Mus musculus: one gene and its partners. The main gene of each other region encodes a partner of the protein of the gene in region 4 in a complex. Links are inferred from orthologs where the notes say so. Each region holds a gene or a part of one and is shown on either strand. Other genes may lie near its edges.

The links. The genes of interacting proteins can lie anywhere in the genome.
Region 1: Cep290 (region 4) and Tmem67 share a complex: the UniProt entries of both Homo sapiens proteins name them as parts of the tectonic-like complex. The link is inferred for Mus musculus from reciprocal best matches to the Homo sapiens genes CEP290 and TMEM67.
Region 2: Cep290 (region 4) and Tctn1 share a complex: the UniProt entries of both Homo sapiens proteins name them as parts of the tectonic-like complex. The link is inferred for Mus musculus from reciprocal best matches to the Homo sapiens genes CEP290 and TCTN1.
Region 3: Cep290 (region 4) and Tmem231 share a complex: the UniProt entries of both Homo sapiens proteins name them as parts of the tectonic-like complex. The link is inferred for Mus musculus from reciprocal best matches to the Homo sapiens genes CEP290 and TMEM231.

What each region holds. Positions count from the first base shown.
Region 1 is NC_000070.6:12,085,138-12,089,388, forward strand, and holds the start of Tmem67 (meckelin precursor), read right to left. Parts: upstream 2,801-4,251; coding exon 2,578-2,800; intron 864-2,577; coding exon 775-863; intron 1-774. UniProt on the Homo sapiens protein: Required for ciliary structure and function. Part of the tectonic-like complex which is required for tissue-specific ciliogenesis and may regulate ciliary membrane composition.
Region 2 is NC_000071.6:122,261,661-122,265,879, forward strand, and holds the start of Tctn1 (tectonic-1 precursor), read right to left. Parts: upstream 2,801-4,219; 5' UTR 2,710-2,800; coding exon 2,478-2,709; intron 1-2,477. UniProt on the Homo sapiens protein: Component of the tectonic-like complex, a complex localized at the transition zone of primary cilia and acting as a barrier that prevents diffusion of transmembrane proteins between the cilia and plasma membranes.
Region 3 is NC_000074.6:111,931,014-111,935,311, reverse strand, and holds the start of Tmem231 (transmembrane protein 231), read left to right. Parts: upstream 1-1,498; 5' UTR 1,499-1,545; coding exon 1,546-1,684; intron 1,685-1,782; coding exon 1,783-1,952; intron 1,953-4,298. UniProt on the Homo sapiens protein: Transmembrane component of the tectonic-like complex, a complex localized at the transition zone of primary cilia and acting as a barrier that prevents diffusion of transmembrane proteins between the cilia and plasma membranes.
Region 4 is NC_000076.6:100,486,356-100,490,381, forward strand, and holds the start of Cep290 (centrosomal protein of 290 kDa), read left to right. Parts: upstream 1-1,226; 5' UTR 1,227-1,397; intron 1,398-1,923; 5' UTR 1,924-1,951; coding exon 1,952-2,053; intron 2,054-2,206; coding exon 2,207-2,284; intron 2,285-2,964; coding exon 2,965-3,034; intron 3,035-3,791; coding exon 3,792-3,838; intron 3,839-4,026. UniProt on the Homo sapiens protein: Involved in early and late steps in cilia formation. Its association with CCP110 is required for inhibition of primary cilia formation by CCP110.

The DNA of each region.
Region 1 (4,251 bases), on a different chromosome or scaffold from region 4:
TAGTCGAATTTCCCTGAACCATTATGTAATGAGGAAACTAAGCAAACTTCGAATGATTCCATTTCTATTGATGCAACCGGCAATGCATCGACTTGCTGTACCTAATGTAGCATGAGGATTGCTGAACCTCATGTAGCATTAGGAGGATCAAGCATCATTTAAGACGATCAGCACAGTACATCTAAGACAGCGAATGCCATCTACAGCAAAGACATTTTACCCCGAATGGCTCTACATAGGGAATACTCAGCTTCTCTTTATACCCTAGTTATTCTGTGAGGCAAACAGAAAGATTTTTTTTCACAGCTTTGTACTTGGGATATCTGACTCAACCACTTTCAGAACAAAATGAATTTGTCTTTTTTCCCCAAAGTTTTCTTCTTTGCTTTACTGATCTCTCAAAATGTATACTAATAAAATTACCTTAATAAGTTTAAAGTAGCGGGGCGTGGTGGCGCACGCCTTTAATCCCAGCACTTGGGAGGCAGAGGCAGGCGGATTTCTGAGTTCTAGGCCAGCCTGGTCTACAGAGTGAGTTCCAGTACAGCCAAGGCTACACAGAGAAACCCTGTCTCAAAAAACCAAAAAAAAACAAAAAAACAAAAAAACAAAAAAAAAAACAAAACAAAAAAAGCAAAACAAAAAAACAACAACAAAAAACCCAAAACAAAAAAAGTTTAAAGTATGTGAACAAATGGGAAATTATACTGAAGTCTGAGAGATAGACATTTATGACTTTTTCTCAAAAGTTATTTTAAAATAAATTATTCATACCATGTTTTCTGGACACTTTTTACAAATAATAGAAGGTCCTCCATTATTAGAGATCATATGATATCCTGGTAGACATACACAGGAAGTTCCTGAAAAGAAAAAGAAAAAAAAAAAAACAAAGCTGATATTGTCCTTAGCAAACAAAACTCCAAGACACAAACTTAACAGTTCTTAGGATTTTGAAGCTTGGAGTGGTGGTGTATACCTGTAACCTCAGTATTTAGGAGGAAGAGGCAGGAAGTTCAGGCAGTACTTCAAGGGTATCCCTGCTCACAGACAGTGCGAGGCCAGACTGGGCATTATATGAGAGACAACAGGTGTCTTTGTCTGTCTGTCTCTCTGTCTGTCTGTCTGTGCATGTATATGTGTCTATGGGTCTGTGCGTATACATGCAAACACTGAGTGGGTTAATGAATTCTATACTTCGGCTTCTTGTTTAGTAAAATGGAGAAAAAAACAGGACCTACCTAATAGGGTCAAAGTTTAGAAATATGTCTGGCATCATGTTGCTACTTTTTAAACTGCAATTATTATTGAACTATGAAAACTACTTACTTGCTCTAGGAATTACATTTCTGCATCACTAAACCATATGTATGTGTGTTTAGTGAGTTTTAATTTTGTCAATATCTTATTGGAAAATTGCTTTCATTCAAATACTCTTTCTCTAGAAAGAAAATAAATGTTGTTTGTAATTACAAGTAGACTCAGCTAGTTAAAGAAAGAATTCTCTAAGGACTAAGTAGAGCCAGCACCTGTAGGAGTCTATGTACAACACACACGTCTTCATTCATTGTCATGAAAGCAATACAATGCAGAACACGTTTGCTCTTCACACTCCATCTTCTGACACAGTGATCCGCACTGCCTTAAGTGAGACTCTACCAGGCCTAAAGCAGGAGAGTTAACCAGTCTGAGATTCACAGCATTTTAGACTTCAGTAAATAGGAAAAGACTCATTCTGAGTAGTTAAGGGAGAACTAGACCAATCGATGCAATTAAGTCTAAAAGGACAATGTGAGCAAACAGAAGTCATCAACAATAAAAGGGACAGGTCCTAAGGGAATATGTAACCACAGATGCAAAGCCACGCGCTGGGAATGCAGAGGTAGAAAGTGAGGGAAGCCAGGTGTCCTGGCCCACGCCTTTAATCCCAGCACTCAGGAGGCAGAGGCAGGCGGATTTCTGAGTTCGAGGCCAGCCTGGCCTACAAAGTGAGAGTTCCAGGACAGCCAGGGCTACACAGAGAAACCCTGTGTCGAAAAACAAAACAAAACAAAAAACAAAAAAGAAAGTGAGGAAGAGACAAGAGTTCTCTTAGTTTCCAGTATATGTCACACAGATGTCACAACATCTCGGTTTCAGTTTCCTTTGCTTACAAAATCTGATTATAGTCACAGTTGCAAACAGCTTTAAATATCTTGAATTTGGAAGTAGAATTAATGGTCACAAGAGTTTACTAATTCACATTTCTTCCCTTGCTTTCCTGTCAGGGTACCTCACTAGACGCCTCAGGTTATTTCTTTTCTATTTCTATTCTACTTTTCTTAGGCGGCTTTCAGGTGCCATCCTAAGGATTCCCTGCCAGAGACTGACTCCGGGGAATGAGTTCCTGGAGGAGGGTAGGGTGGTGGCGCCTGGGTGACTGATCTCATTGTGTCAGCCGTATCCTCCCAGGAAACCCTTTCTTAGGTTTGATAGCTGTGCATTTTCTGAAACATTCTCCAAATAAAATGTCTGGAGTGCTGGCTGTCAGGAGTGCTTTATTTTGGTCAGAGTCCATCCACCCCCAAACCGCCTCACCTAGTGCATCCCGCCGCTGGTTGGCGCCACAGGGGGCACAGGAGAGCGCCGAGATGTCAAAGTACTGGTTGAAGTCGCAGGTCTCAGGCCGCCGGAAAGGGAAGGAGAAGATTTGTGCCCATGAGACTTCGCAGAGAACTAAGAGAAGGTAGGCGGTGCCAGTCCGGGATGAAGAACGAGATCTGACCGCCATGGCCGCCACAGGCCTTGTACGCGTCACCATGGTACCCATATCCTGGGTCCGCAGTCTCCAGCTCCCCAGCAGCCTCCTCGGTGAGTCCGCTGAGCTGATTGGACAACAGGGTTCAGAAAAAAAAAAAAAAAAAAAAAAAAAAACTCAACCTTGCGACGCCTGGTTGCTAGGTTACCACGCACGCGGGAAACAATGGATCAGACATATGCTAAATAAATTAGGGGCGGTTATTTAAAATGTATTTAAAACTCTGGGACGCAGTCAATTTACCGTGTCAGGAAATACTACTACAGCAATGGAAAATATATGGTTTTAGCACTTAAAAGTGTTTCATGAAAGTGGCAATCACACCTACATGACAGTTTACCCAGGGGATTAATTTTGACAACAAAGGAGGTGCCCTATGTTTTTACTTTTTTTGTTTGTTTTGTTCTGATTTTCGAGACAGGGTTTCTCTGTATAGTCCTGGCTGTCCTGGAACTCACTTTGTAGGCCAGGCTAGCCACGAACTCAGAAATCCCGCCTGCCTCTGCCTCTACAGTGCTGGGATTAAAGGCGTGCACCACCATGCCCGGCTTTGTTTTTACATTATTTAAAAAACACTAAGGGTAGGGATTGTTTCAAGTCCTGAGTTTGAGTTTTAGCAAAGCAATACAAACAGAAACCCTCATTGATTTTATATATAATACCTTTATGACAAAAGTCTAGGAGAAACCTTGCCTACTGAATCTTGATTTCATACTTTCTCTGTATTGTGCATAAAGCACCCTACATATACACCTCATCTCACTTGGTTTGAGAACCAAATTTGGATATACATGAATATTGCCTATTAAAGTGCACAGCCTTGCAGACTGTTAGCGCAACAATGCCTAATAAAAGCCTCATTCTCCCTTTCTCCCCTGTCCCTGGTTCTCCTCCCTCTCCCAGAGGATAACTCTATTTCCCATCCCAATAAACCCCCGACTGGAGAACTGCCACATAGTGTGATTGTTGGGAATTGTCACATACACCTAACAGCACAGTAATAAAAGGTTGAAGGGATGCTTTCTGTAATACATACTTTAGGTAAGGCAGCCCGAAGGCCTGTTGTAAATACAGCTTGCTTTTATCTGCCTATGCAACTGCCCTGTTTTTCTCAGGTTTAACAGAAATCACAGGAGAGGATGGAAAACTCTGCAGCTTTCCACTTCCAAAGCGGTTCATTATGATGAAAAGAAAAAAAAGAAACCTTTTTGATTTGTATATTTTACAATTGCCTCACATCCCCGCCCCCCAGTGGAAGTTTTCAGGGGTGGGTCAGGGGCTCACAGATTGCCTAGAAATAGAGCATGCACAAAACCATACTACACTGCAGAGAACAGCCTTCCTCACTCACACCCGCCAATCACTGTAACCGAAGCAGTACGTCTGCGCACGCGCGTTCAGAGCGCCAAGGGGTGGCTGGTTGGGCCTGGATTGCGCATGAGCAGAGAGACGGT
Region 2 (4,219 bases), on a different chromosome or scaffold from region 4:
CACTTTGAGTACCCCACCCCAGTGTCTCCCTAAGGTGGCTGCAGGGGTCTACACGTCTCCTTCAGAGCAGATTCCAAGGAAGGACTGTTGGCAGCCTTGTCCCTTTCCTCACATGCAGCCGGTTGCTGAACTCAAAGTCGTAAGATCCTGACCAATAATCAAATGTTCCTAATTTGGCTTATGATGTCCTTTTGTAATTTAAAATTTTACAATATAAGGTAATGCATTTATGACAGGATACAACAACAACATGGAGGAAAGGCAGGGACATCCCCCCACCCCCACCCAGACAGCAACTCAGACCTCAGCCACCCTGACAGCCACTGTGACTGAGTCTTCAGGACTCGCATCGATCAGGCAGAGAACCTCCACGAGAGCAGAAGGGAGAGCTTCCTCGCAGAGTACTGAGCACGCGATAGACTGGCTCAGTTTACTACTGTCTTTACTACCCTGCTCATTCTATCTCTGTCAATGGAGAAAACCCTCTCAAAGAAACAACAGAGGGCTAAAGAGGCGGGGTGATCGCGATAGAGCACTGGCTGCTCCTGCAGAGGATCTAACTTCGGTGTCCACAACCCACAGGACCGCTCACAACCATCTCTAACTCTGGCTCCAGGGGATCTCATGCCCTCTTCTGGCCTCTGAAGGTACGGGGCACGTATATGGCATACAGATAGATAAGATAATCTCAAAAAAAACCACAACATACAACAACAAGAAACAATATATAGCACAAAGATAACAAACTGAATTCATGGCACAGACTACTGTGAGGAGAGAGGAAATAATGCATCCAGGGCTTTGGCAATTTTGGTTGTTTGCTCTTTGCTTCCTGAAGCAGAGGCTACTTTGGGTCACAGGTGCCTTCCACCATGGTTCCTGCCTTTCCCCAGCTAAGGTGTCACTGAATCTGTTTGTTTGTTTGTTTCTTGTTGTTTTTCTTTGAGACAGGAATTCTCTGTGTAGCCCTGACTGGAACTCACTTTGTAGATCAGGCTGGCCTCACACTCAGAGATTCCCCCACCCCTCCCCAGGATTAAAGAGTGTACCACCTGCACAACCTGGCTTGATTTTTTTTTAATTTATTTATTTATATGAGTTACACTGTAGCTGTCTTCAGACACACCAGAAGAGGGCACCAGATCTCATTACAGATGGCTATGAGCCACCCATGTAGATGCTGGGATTTGAACTCAGGACCTCTGGAAGCGCAGTCAGTGTTCTTAACCACTGAGCCATCTCTCCAGCCCCCTGGGCTGCATCTTAACTGTAATGTTTGGTTTCCTTTTGGGGAAGAGGGGCAATAATCTCAGGCTTCAAACAAAGAATTTTAGCCAAATGCTGACGGGATGTCATAGCATTCTTATTTGTATGAATGAATGGTTTCAAAATTTACAAAAAAAAAAAAACCAAAACAAAAAAACAAGCTCTAGAGATGGGAGGCAGGCTGGGAGGCCCACACCTGGGAATCTCAGCAACTGGGAGGCAGAGTCAGGAAGATGTCAGGTTACAGGCCAGTCTGGGTCACTTAGCAAACCTGTCAGGAACAAAGTTAGGAAAGAAGGCGAAGGCAGGAGACTGGAATGGTTCTAGAACAGGCTGGGGAGATGGCTCAGGAGTTAAAAGCACATACTGCTTGTATACAGGACCTAACTTCTGTTCCCAGGACCCAAGTCAGCCAGCTCTCAAACAAACTCCAGCTCCCCACTTCGGTTCTCCAAGGGCGCCAATATATATCCACCCCATCCTCACAAACATATACAAATATGCACACACAATTTAAAATACTTTTTTAAGATTTAGAAAAAATTCCCCCCGAAAGTGGTATAACGCTCTGGAAAGGCACGAAGGGAAAGGGGAGTTTTATTGATAAATGAAAAATGCTTTCTTAGTCCGAAAGACAAATTAGCTCCTCCTTGACTAGGTCCTCTCTAGCCATGGACAACTGCGCGTACTCACTAAAAGAACGCCATACTCCCTTCACTGGGATGGGTAAAAGGGAGAGAGCAATTAAGTCCACTACCTCATGTGTTTAAATTTACAACCACGAATTGTTGCCAAAGCTTCAAATTCCGAGCGGTAAGTAGATACGGATGAAACAGGTGTGTTTAATAACTCCATTTAGCTGGTAAAAAATGTCTAAAACGCACTTAATCACCCTGAAAATATCTGCTGGGCTCTCAGTAATCTAGACACAACTGGGATGCCCATGTCCGTGTGTCTGCGTGGAGAGGACGAAGATCCACTTAGCACTCTTTCTTCTACCAGTACTGCCTTCAACTCATTCTGTAGGTTTCTATCTAGTACCCCACTGCAGCCGTCTGCAATGATGCGGAAAAGGGAGTAACTGAGCCCCGCCCTCCGCATTTGTGTGCCAGAGATCCGATCTCCCCCTGAGGGTAACGACAGGGAGGCTGAGAAGGGGGTAACTTTGAGCTGGTGTACCCGCTCCAGGGGGGTCACCCCTTTGTACCCACCGTCCGTGACCGGGGTAGGCCTGGGGCCAGAGCGCTCCGGTGCCCTGGGAGTTCCCGGGGTCCTAGGCGACAGGGAGGGCTGCAGAGTGGTGGGGGTGGCCTTGGTGGAATTGAGATCCTCCTTCGTCACTGCTGGGGTGGCCGCAGCCGGGATGGCAATGACCTGGGTGCTCGAAGAGGTGTAGCAGTTTAGGAGCACCAGCAGGAGCGGCGGGAGACCCCGCGACCCCATGGCCTAGCAGAGTAGCCCGCGCCGGGGAGCTAGGCCCGTCTGTTGCCCGGGCAACAGTCACAGCCTAGCGCTAGGTATCACGGGAAAGGGCTCGCGAGGCCAAACTGGTCTGCGGAAGAAGGTGGGGCCTGAAGTCAGACCCGCGAATGGGGCGGGAGCTGGGCGAGGCTATAGGCGGGGCCTGGGCGGAATCGGAGAGGAGGGGCGGGGCCGGTGGGGGCGGGGTATGAGACAGCTCTTTCTAAGGAGCCCTCAGAAAATCGGAAGATGTAAACTTCTGTTGTGACACTTTGGGTGCTGCGTGGTTGTTTTTTTTTTTTTTTTTAAAAATGTAGATTCCCAGCTATAGCCTCACAGAATTCGGAGTCAGTCAAGACTAGGGCAGAGCCTAGAAGAGAGTATTTCTAATAAAAGACCCGCAGCGCATGTTTAGAAGTGACTTGGTTCCTTTAAGTTACATTGAATTTCTTACCCCATGTAACACTTTCTTTACTTTCTTTGCCTTTGGATACATCGCAGGAGGTCGCCAGAGCACTTCTGTCCACGGATTTATTTATGATAAGAGAAACAAAAGAATTCTTAACTTTTTGGTTCTTTTAGACGGGATCTCTCTGTGCCTGACTAATCTCGAACCCAAGGCAGCCCTATGTCAGTGCCTCATGCCAGGCATGCACCACCGCATCCAACCTCCATATCTGCCTTTATGATTATATCATTTGGAATGTTCTTCTCATCGTGTGTGTGTGTGTGTGTGTGTGTGTGTGTGTGTGTGTGTGTGTGTGTTTACTGGTAGGGGGAGGATGGGGGAGGAATTTGAGACAGGGTTTCTCTCTGTAGACCTGACTGTCCCAGAATGCACTCTGTGGACCAGTCTGGCCTCGAACTCGGAGAACCACCTGCCTCTGTCTCTCAGGTATTTTTTAAGGGTTAGTTATGTTTTGTTTTGTTTTGTTTTTTGTATATGGTGTTGTGTCTGTATGTATGTACACCAGCAGAGGGCATCAGATCCCATGAGACAGTCATAGACATGACATGAGCCACCAAGTGGTTGCTGGGAATTGAACTCAGGACCTCTGGAAGAGCAGCCCAAGCTCTTAACCGCTGAGCCATCTCTCCAGCCCTTCCTTAAGTCTTACAGCCCTGTGCTTCAAATCATTCTGTGAAAAGTTCTCAAAATCCTTTTATCCAGTCTCAAGCCTCAATGTAATTTTCTGACATTTGACTTCAAGGTGTAGACTGTTATCTGCTCATACATTTCGAAAGCCTTAGGGGACAGTGGGGACTCATTTGTTAGTTTCTTTCTTTCTTTCTTTCCATCATAATTCACTGAGTCCATCTAGGGGCTAGAGAGATGACTCAGCCATTAGGAGCCCTTGCTGCTTGGAGAAGACCAGGGTTTAGTTCTCAGCACCAGCATGGTGGCTTCTCACCTGTGTTACTCCAGCTCTAAAGGATATAAACCGGTCCTCTGGTCCCTGGGGGCACCTGCATGAGTGTGTGCACCCAAATA
Region 3 (4,298 bases), on a different chromosome or scaffold from region 4:
TGGGTGTTTTGCCTGCGTGTGTGTCTATGGACCATGTGTCTGCAGTGCCCACAGAAGCTGTTGGATCCCCTAGGACTGGAGTTACAGTTGGCTCTGAGCCCCTGTGTGGGTGCTGAAAGTCAAACCTTGATCCTCTGGAAAACCGGCCTCTCCAGCTTACTTACATGTTACACTACATTTACTTATTCATTATTTGTGCATAGATGCAGATGAGCACCATGACAGGCATGTAGAGGTCAGAGGACAGCCTTTCCAGAATTAAGATAGATGGTGGGAGCTGGAGAGATGACCCAATTGTTAAGAGCACCGATTGTTCTTGCAGAGGACCTGGAGAAAGGAGAATTGAGGGCCAGCACAGGCTACATAGTAAGACCCTACTTCCAAACAGGTAAAAATCTGTCTTCCATGTTAAGATATTGGTGTTAGTATTTACCTAAGTGATCAGCTAATGCTAACTTTGGGGAAGACAGTATCAGTGTTTATAGCTAACAAAGTACAACAGAAGGAGCCATTTAGTAAAATACCCTTTAACCTTTTTTTTTTTTTTTTTTTTTCCGAGACAGGGTTTCTCTGTGTAGCCCCGGCTGTTCTGAAACTCACTTTGTAGACCAGGCTGGCCTCAAACTCAGAAATCCGCCTGCCTCTGCCTCCTGAGTGCTGGGATTAAAGGCGTGCACCACTACGCCCGGCCTTTTATTTTTTGTTTTTGTTCTAACCTTTAAATAATCAGGGGGTTTGTTTCCTGTTTTCTATCTTTCCTGCTATGGGGCATAGTGAAAGCATTAACCTTGAAGACAAAAGTACCTGGTTCTAGGACGGTGGCCTTGTTATAGGAATGTCCCGACTTCAGTATGAACCTCAATGGAGTTTTTGCATTGAAACAAAGTCTCCAGTATCTCTGGCTGGTCTCAAACTCACAATGTAGCTAAAGATGACCTTGGACTTCTGATCCTTCTGTCTTCACCTGAAGAGTTGTTAGTGTTACAGATGTGGGCCAAGGTGCCTGGTTTAATGAAGTGCTGGAGATGAACTCAGGGCTTCCTGTATAGTAGGCTAGCCCTCTACCAACTAAGCTACATCAACCATCCTTATGTCATGAGTTAATAGATGATCTATGGGGTGATGTCAACATCTATGCACGTCTGATTTTGTACAATTGACACAGACTTTGGTGAGTGAAAATATCATTACAGTTGCTTTCTTTTTTTTTTTTTTAAGATTTATTTATTATATGTAAGTACACCACTGTAGCTGTCTTCAGACATTCCGGAAGAGGGCGTCAGATCTCATTATGGATGGTTGTGAGCCACCATGTGGTTGCTGGGATTTGACTCAGGACCTTTGGAAGAGCAGTCAGCGCTCTTACCGGCTGAGCCATCTCACCAGCCCATACAGTTGCCTTCTTGAAGAGACGCGCAGGCACAGCACTAACACAGGACCCTCCTCCTGCTAGCTCCACCCCCTTCTAGAGGCCTGCATGCCTGCTATTGGTTCCTCTGCCCGCCGTCGGTTGCCGTGGAGACTCGGCGCTGCGGCCCTGCGCTCATGGCGCTGTACCATCTCTTCTCTCACCCAATCGAGCGCGCTTACCGCGCGGGGCTCTGCTCCAAGGCCGCGCTCTTCCTGCTGTTGACCACCGCGCTCACCTACATCCCCCCGCTGCTGGTGGCCTTCCGGAGCCACGGTGAGCCTGCCCGGGCCTGGAGGGCCACACGGCGCGGCCGGCGGGCCCAGGCCGGCAATCCTAACCTGGCTCCCCCCAACCCGCCTTGTCTCCCGCAGGGTTTTGGCTGAAGCGGAGCAGCTACGAGGAGCAGCCGAACGTGCGCTTCCAGCACCAAGTGCTGCTCGTGGCTCTCCTGGGGCCGGAGCCTGAAGCCTTCCTCGCCTGGAGCACGTTCCCCACCTTCAACCGGCTGCAGGGGGCTCACCTGCGCGTCCCGCTCGTGTCGGTGCGTGGTTCCCGCCCGGATCCTGGGGGTGATAGGATGGAGTGAGATCCCAGTTTGGGTCATTTGACCGGGTGTGAGAGCAGAGTCTCGTGTATCCCAGGCTTGCCTTAAACTATATAGCCAAAGTCGTCTTTCAACAACTGATACTCGGCCTTCACCTTCCCAGTGCCGGGGATTCGCTATGCAACGCCCTGCTGGGGTATATGGGGTGCTGGGAATCAAACCCAAGGCTTTGTGCTTGCATGCAAGGACTTAACCACTGAGCCACTCTCAGTCCCACAGCTTGGATCTTAAGGAGCCACGAGGGTTGGAAACAAAAGTCCCTTTGGCCTGCGCATGCTTAACTTTCTAGATAGTTTTATTCAGTTTCTCCAGGTTTCCCTAGAAAGGCAGCCGTGCAGGCACTGTGTTTGCCGGACAACAAGAGTCCAGAGCCTGTTTCTGGTGCTGGTCATTTTCTGAATGGAAAGGTGGCTGAAGAAAAAACCCCTTTGAGGGCTTGTAGGCGGAGTTCTGTACACCCCAGTACGCTGCTGAGTTTGAACATCACCAAGCTGTAAAGACAGAAAGTACCAGTGTTTTTATGCAGACTTGATGCGGGGTAGGGCGGGGCAAGCGGTGATTGGTTGAATTCTCAGGTCCTGCTCTAGCCAAGCCACGCCTGTCTGGGTTAGGCTTCTCAACTCTTTGCCACACTGCAGCTGTCTCCTGTGTAAGGGAAACATTTTACTGGCTGCAGTTTAGTGTTTACTTTCGCATAAATCAAGTGCTTCCTTACGGTCATCCCTTGCCGTTCATATAATGACATGGGCAGAGTGATGACTTTAACTAGGTGTTTGTTAGTAAATATTTTGTTTCTAACCTCCACCTGAGGCAGGATTGCCCCCCCCCTTCCCTGACCTATACAGCAAGCTCAGGGCTATTCAGTCTCAAAAGCGTAGCGCTGGCATGTAAAGTCAAAAGACAACTTGGAGGGGTCAGTTCCCTCCTGTCACTGTCCCGGGAATCCAGCTTGGATTCCCAGGGTTGGCTGCAGGAGTCTTTACCTGCTGAGCTATCTCATTACCCATCCTTGATTTTTTTTTTTTTTAATTTGCTCCAATCGTTTTACTATTAAAATTAGTAAGTGAATAAACAAAGCTTTAACTAAATCCTACAGCTTTTTTATTCTTTTTGAGATGGGTTATTGCTATGTTGCCTGCCCAAGCTGTAAGCCCAGTTCAGCCAGCTACGAAGCTGGGACTACAGACGTGAGGCCCAGACTTAAGTCATGCACGTCTGAATGCCAGTGGAAGCGTTTTGTTGAAATTTCATGCACTTAGAGAAAACAAAGCAAGCAAGTAAAGTAATTGTTAACTGCAAGGAAATAAGCCACGAGAAGACGCTAGGAAGGATGCGCAGTCAAGGTTGCGAACCGGACTTGCGTAGTAGTCTTAGTTACGACATGAAAGGCTGACTAAGCAAAATGCGCACCTAGGGAAACTGAAGGGATGAGAGAGGGGGAGGTGCGATGGGGCCTGGTGGGAGTGGGAGGGGAGCGCAGGCTCCAGCTTCCCCCGTGGAATGTCAGTAGAGGATTCTCATGAAAGAGGTGGAGACTCGGCAAATCTTATTTAAACATCTGGAAAGCGTTTCTTTCTATTTGTTAGAACAGGGTTTCTCTGTGTAGCGCTGGCTGTCAAATAACTTGCTCTGTTGACCAGGTTGGCCTCGAACTCAGAGATTTGTCAACCTCTCCCTCCCCTCTGCTACTACCGCCAGCCACCCAGCCTGGGGAGGGCTTCTAACACACTCTCATTAGGTAACTAATGCAAAAGTTTTTGCTTTGGAAGTTTTGTTTTGTTTTAACATCATTGCACTCTTTTATTCTTCAGATGGTCAAGACTCTTCCCCCAGGCCACCAACACATACCCTTTTAGTTTCTTGAGACTGCATGTCATGTCATCCAGGATGGCTTGGTTTTGTAGCCTAGGATGACCTTAAAGACTTTGTGTTTCGGTCTTCCAGCCTGTGCCTGCTCAGCGCTGAGACTGCAGTTGTGAGCCACCACGCCTGCTTTTACTATTTATGTACTTACCTTGCTGCTTTGCTTATTTTATTCTCTGTGTGTGGGTACTTTGCCTACATGCACATATATGTATACTATGTGATGCCTGGTGCCTCGGATCCCCTGGAACTGGAGTTATAGACAGTTGTAAACTGCCCTATGGGCCCTGGGAATTAAACCAGGATCCTCTAGAGGAACCGCCAGTGCTCTGAACTGCTAAGCCAGCTCTCCAGCTCCATTTATTAATTTATTTATCCCTAAGACAGGGCTTTGTAATGAAGTCCAGCTATGGGCCAGGT
Region 4 (4,026 bases):
TCTGAAGAACGTCTTTAAAATTTGTTTCAAATACCATTTTTTTGTGCTATTTGTTTTTCTCAACCGCAGAAATCTTTTCAAAAGAAAAATGTAACTGTCTACATTTTTCTTTTAATTACTTAATATCTATTATGTATGATATGTATAAGTACCTTATATATCTATCCACGTATACATACATACATACATTCATACATATATACGAGACGCACTCTTTCAAATAGATGCTTACAGCTCCTAAAGTTACCTGCTGGTGTAGAATAGCTGTGCATTTGGCAACAGTTCCCTGAGTAAGAAGATTAACATCTGAGAAGGAGAAGGCACTTTCCCCCAAGAACTCCCTTGGTACCCAGCAAATGACAGCAAAATGCCATCGCTTGGCATGGCCCTCCTCCCTCCCTCCAGCCCGGCTTAAGAGCCTTGGGCGCACTAAGGCTCCTCTTTCCTTGGCCTTCACTCCACTCTTATTAACCTAATAAGCACTACAATCCGCAAGCTGCTGCAGGAGGCTGCCCCATCTTGACGCTCCTTCTTCACTCAACCAGAGCGTGAACTCAGGGGGTGCGGTGGGGGTGGGGGCGCTCCACTTTCCCAGACACCAAGGAGGCTGGAAACTTTTATTGACTCCCCTCTTAGGGAAGCCACTAACTGGGAGCCCCTCGCACCTACCTGAGTAGCCGGAGGACTCTTTCCCAAACCTCTGCAAGATCCGCCAGCCCTTCGGCAGCCCCAAGCTAGCGCTTCCCTAAAAACGCAAAGGTTCCCTGAGCTACTCCTGGCTGTGGGTTGACACGCCCCGACCTCACCTGAGGGCGGCTCCGCCAGGAGACGGTTCAGGAAAGCTTCTGGGATGGTGGACCGGAGAAGGACTCCGCAGAAAACACAGTCATAGCCTGCCACGCTCGGACTCCGGGGCGGCCGCACCTTAGCAGCCGCTCCTCCCGCCTCCCGAGCCTTCCCCCAGCTCTTCCAGGGCGGCCGCAGACTCCCGCATTGCACGCCGGGAACGCGCCGCTCTTCCCAAAAACTTCCAATCCCAGGATGCACAGCCGCGACGCCGAACTGCACTCTGGGACGTAGAGTCCTCATCTCACGGCTCTCCCTCATCCACAGTAAGGAGGGCTTGGAGGGGAAATAGAGCCGTAAAGCTTTTTCCAGGGTCGTGAAATGTAGTCTTCCCAGGTATCCCGGGGCCTAGTTCCGGTCTTGGCAGGCTGGGGGGCGGGGAGTGGTGTCGCCTAGCAGCCGGCGCCGCTTCGGCTCGGTCGGGAAGAGTTGGCGGGAGCAGCCTGAGTGCGCGAGGACCGCTCTGGGAAGCGTGAGGCCGGGGCGGTGGCCGAACCCGGAGGTGGTCGCTGTAGATGAGTGACTGCTGCTGGTGGCAGGTCTTGGTTTCGGTGGGTGGATCCTCGTGAGCCGGAGCCGCTTAGTGTCGTTCACAGGATCGTAATCCCGAGGGACAGGGTGCAGCCCTACCTATCCAGACCTCTGTCGCTCTTGTCTGCAGTGTCGTCTCGGCCTCCCTGATTGAGCTTGATTCCGCAAACACTTCATTTAGCTCAGTCTTTTTATCTACTTTAAAAATCCTCTGGTCCCCTTTCCTCAGAAGGTTTTCAAAAACTTCCAAACATCTTGGGAGTTGGTACCATCATTGATGGTAGGGGACTTGGAAAAGGGGCCTCGGGGTTTTAGCTCCGAATTCGTCTTAGCAAGAAAATAATAATTTAGCGTGTACATTATCGTATAGCCTGTGTCAGGGGAACTAATTTTCGTCGAGGCTGTTTGCCTCTGCATCTGTTTTGCAGTTCAGGAGCCATAGCTCTTAGCCAGCACCTAGAGAGTTAAGTAAGACCGCTCATGATCATGTAAACACTGCAAGGCCATTTTCCTTGAAAATGCTAAAATCCACCTGCTTCTTTGTAGAGGCTGAGAGACAGTGAAAGAATTCAAGATGCCACCTAATATAAAGTGGAAAGAATTAATCAAAGTTGATCCAGATGACCTGCCACGGCAAGAAGAGTTAGCAGATAAATTATTGATATCTTTATCCAAGGTACTTAATAAATGATTTGTACACAGAGCCTGATGTACAATGTCATGAATTGAAATTGCTTCTTGAAATCATTGAATGCTATAACTGGAAGAGTGCTTGTATTTAATGTGCAGGGTATGAAATAGTCCATTTTTTGTGTGTTTGTTTCCTTAGGTGGAAGTAAATGAACTAAAAAATGAAGACCAAGAAAACATGATACATCTATTCAGAATTACCCAGTCTCTAATGAAGGTTTGTAGGAAAGAGTGTGTAGGAAAAGAAATATTTTTTAGGAGAAACATAAAGAGTCATAAAGAATCATATGGTCAAATAAAATACAAAATCTCTCCCCTATAAGCTATACATGAAATGATAAGAGGATTCTAGATTCTTCATAAATAAATACTGAGAAAGAATATGTATTCTTTACATTAAGGTAAAAGCATATAGAAAAATATTTGGGGCCAGTAATTTGGGATATACTGTTCAAGAGTTTGAGAGTATATTTTGGTTATCAGCATTTTAGAAGGGAATAAAGGTTTTTAAATCATACTTGGTAAAGAAATGTACTTATGAAGGCAACATTAAATGTGTTGTATAGACTGAAGGGATGAGAGCTGATTAGTTCCAATTATAAGAAGGAATTACTAAATTTATTAATAATAACAATTGGGATAGTAAAAAAGATATTGAAAACATTTTAAGTAATGGCTATAAAGTTTAACGGAAAAATCAGATATAATTCAAAGTCTTGCCATTCTGGAATTTCTAGCCTTATGTATTTATTCAACAACTATTTACTGACTGTCTCTGTGTGTTAGTCATCGTACACACTACAGACTGAGATAGCAAATTCCACACAGTTTCCATTCCCACTGTTTACATTACAGTGTAAATAATACAGATTCTTCCCCTCTCGTTTTAATGTTCAGATGAAAGCCCAGGAAGTAGAGCTCGCTTTGGAAGAAGTTGAAAAGGCTGGAGAAGAACAAGCAAAATTTGGTAAATGTCTTGGGAAAAAACTACTGTGGTTCCATTACTTATTAGACAGTATAAAATCTATCCTATTCTATAACATATGTATTCAATTTATACTGAAAGATGCTACATCCTTGTGCAGTTCCAGGTACTGGCCTGAGTGCTGTGGTAGGGGGTGAAGAAAAGAAAACACACAGACACTTAGAACAGTTGTTTTCGGTTGGACCAGGCTCTCTAATGGAGCAACTGCCCCACCCCAGAAGCTCACTGTCTGTATTATATCCACTTGACCAGAGCAGTGGAGTTGTTGCATAGCTGAACATAAAGTCGAGTGAGTGCATACAGATAAACATGAAGGCAGGGTTTCTGCTGTTGAATAGGGAGGCAGATTTATCAAATCTCAGTAGGAGTAGTCTCTATAAGGGAGCCATAAACATTAGGGGGACATTTTCTGCACACCCTGTCAACATCCACAGTCAGACGAGGAGGGAAGGCTTTGCCGTTTGCCATAGGCCTGAGACATTTGGAGTTCCTGACGTGGCTTTGCCCATGTCAGTAGTACACACTGACTCAGGGCTCATGCACTGAAGCCTTCCTCTGCTCTCTACATGAGGCATTTCTAGAATGCATATTTTATGCATTTAGTATATAATAATTACTTTCCTGTATCTGTTAAGGATGGAATCTTTTACAGAGAACAGTACTATTTTATTAAAGTTTACTTAAAATCTGATTATAGGAAACTTAACCAATTAAAACATTTGTGTTTTTTTTTAAATAGAAAATCAATTAAAGACAAAAGTAATGAAACTGGAAAATGAACTGGAGGTATATATATATCCTTTTATATTTCCTTGTTTTTGAATTTTCTTGTAGTTGTTATTAATTGCATTATTTTAAATTGTTTTCAAATCCTCCCAGATTGGAAAATACAAGATTTTGTGCTCATGCGTTTATTCATTACACAGAATGTGCTTTTGTGACTTGAGTTCTAAGAATTATGCATCCAGTGAAGT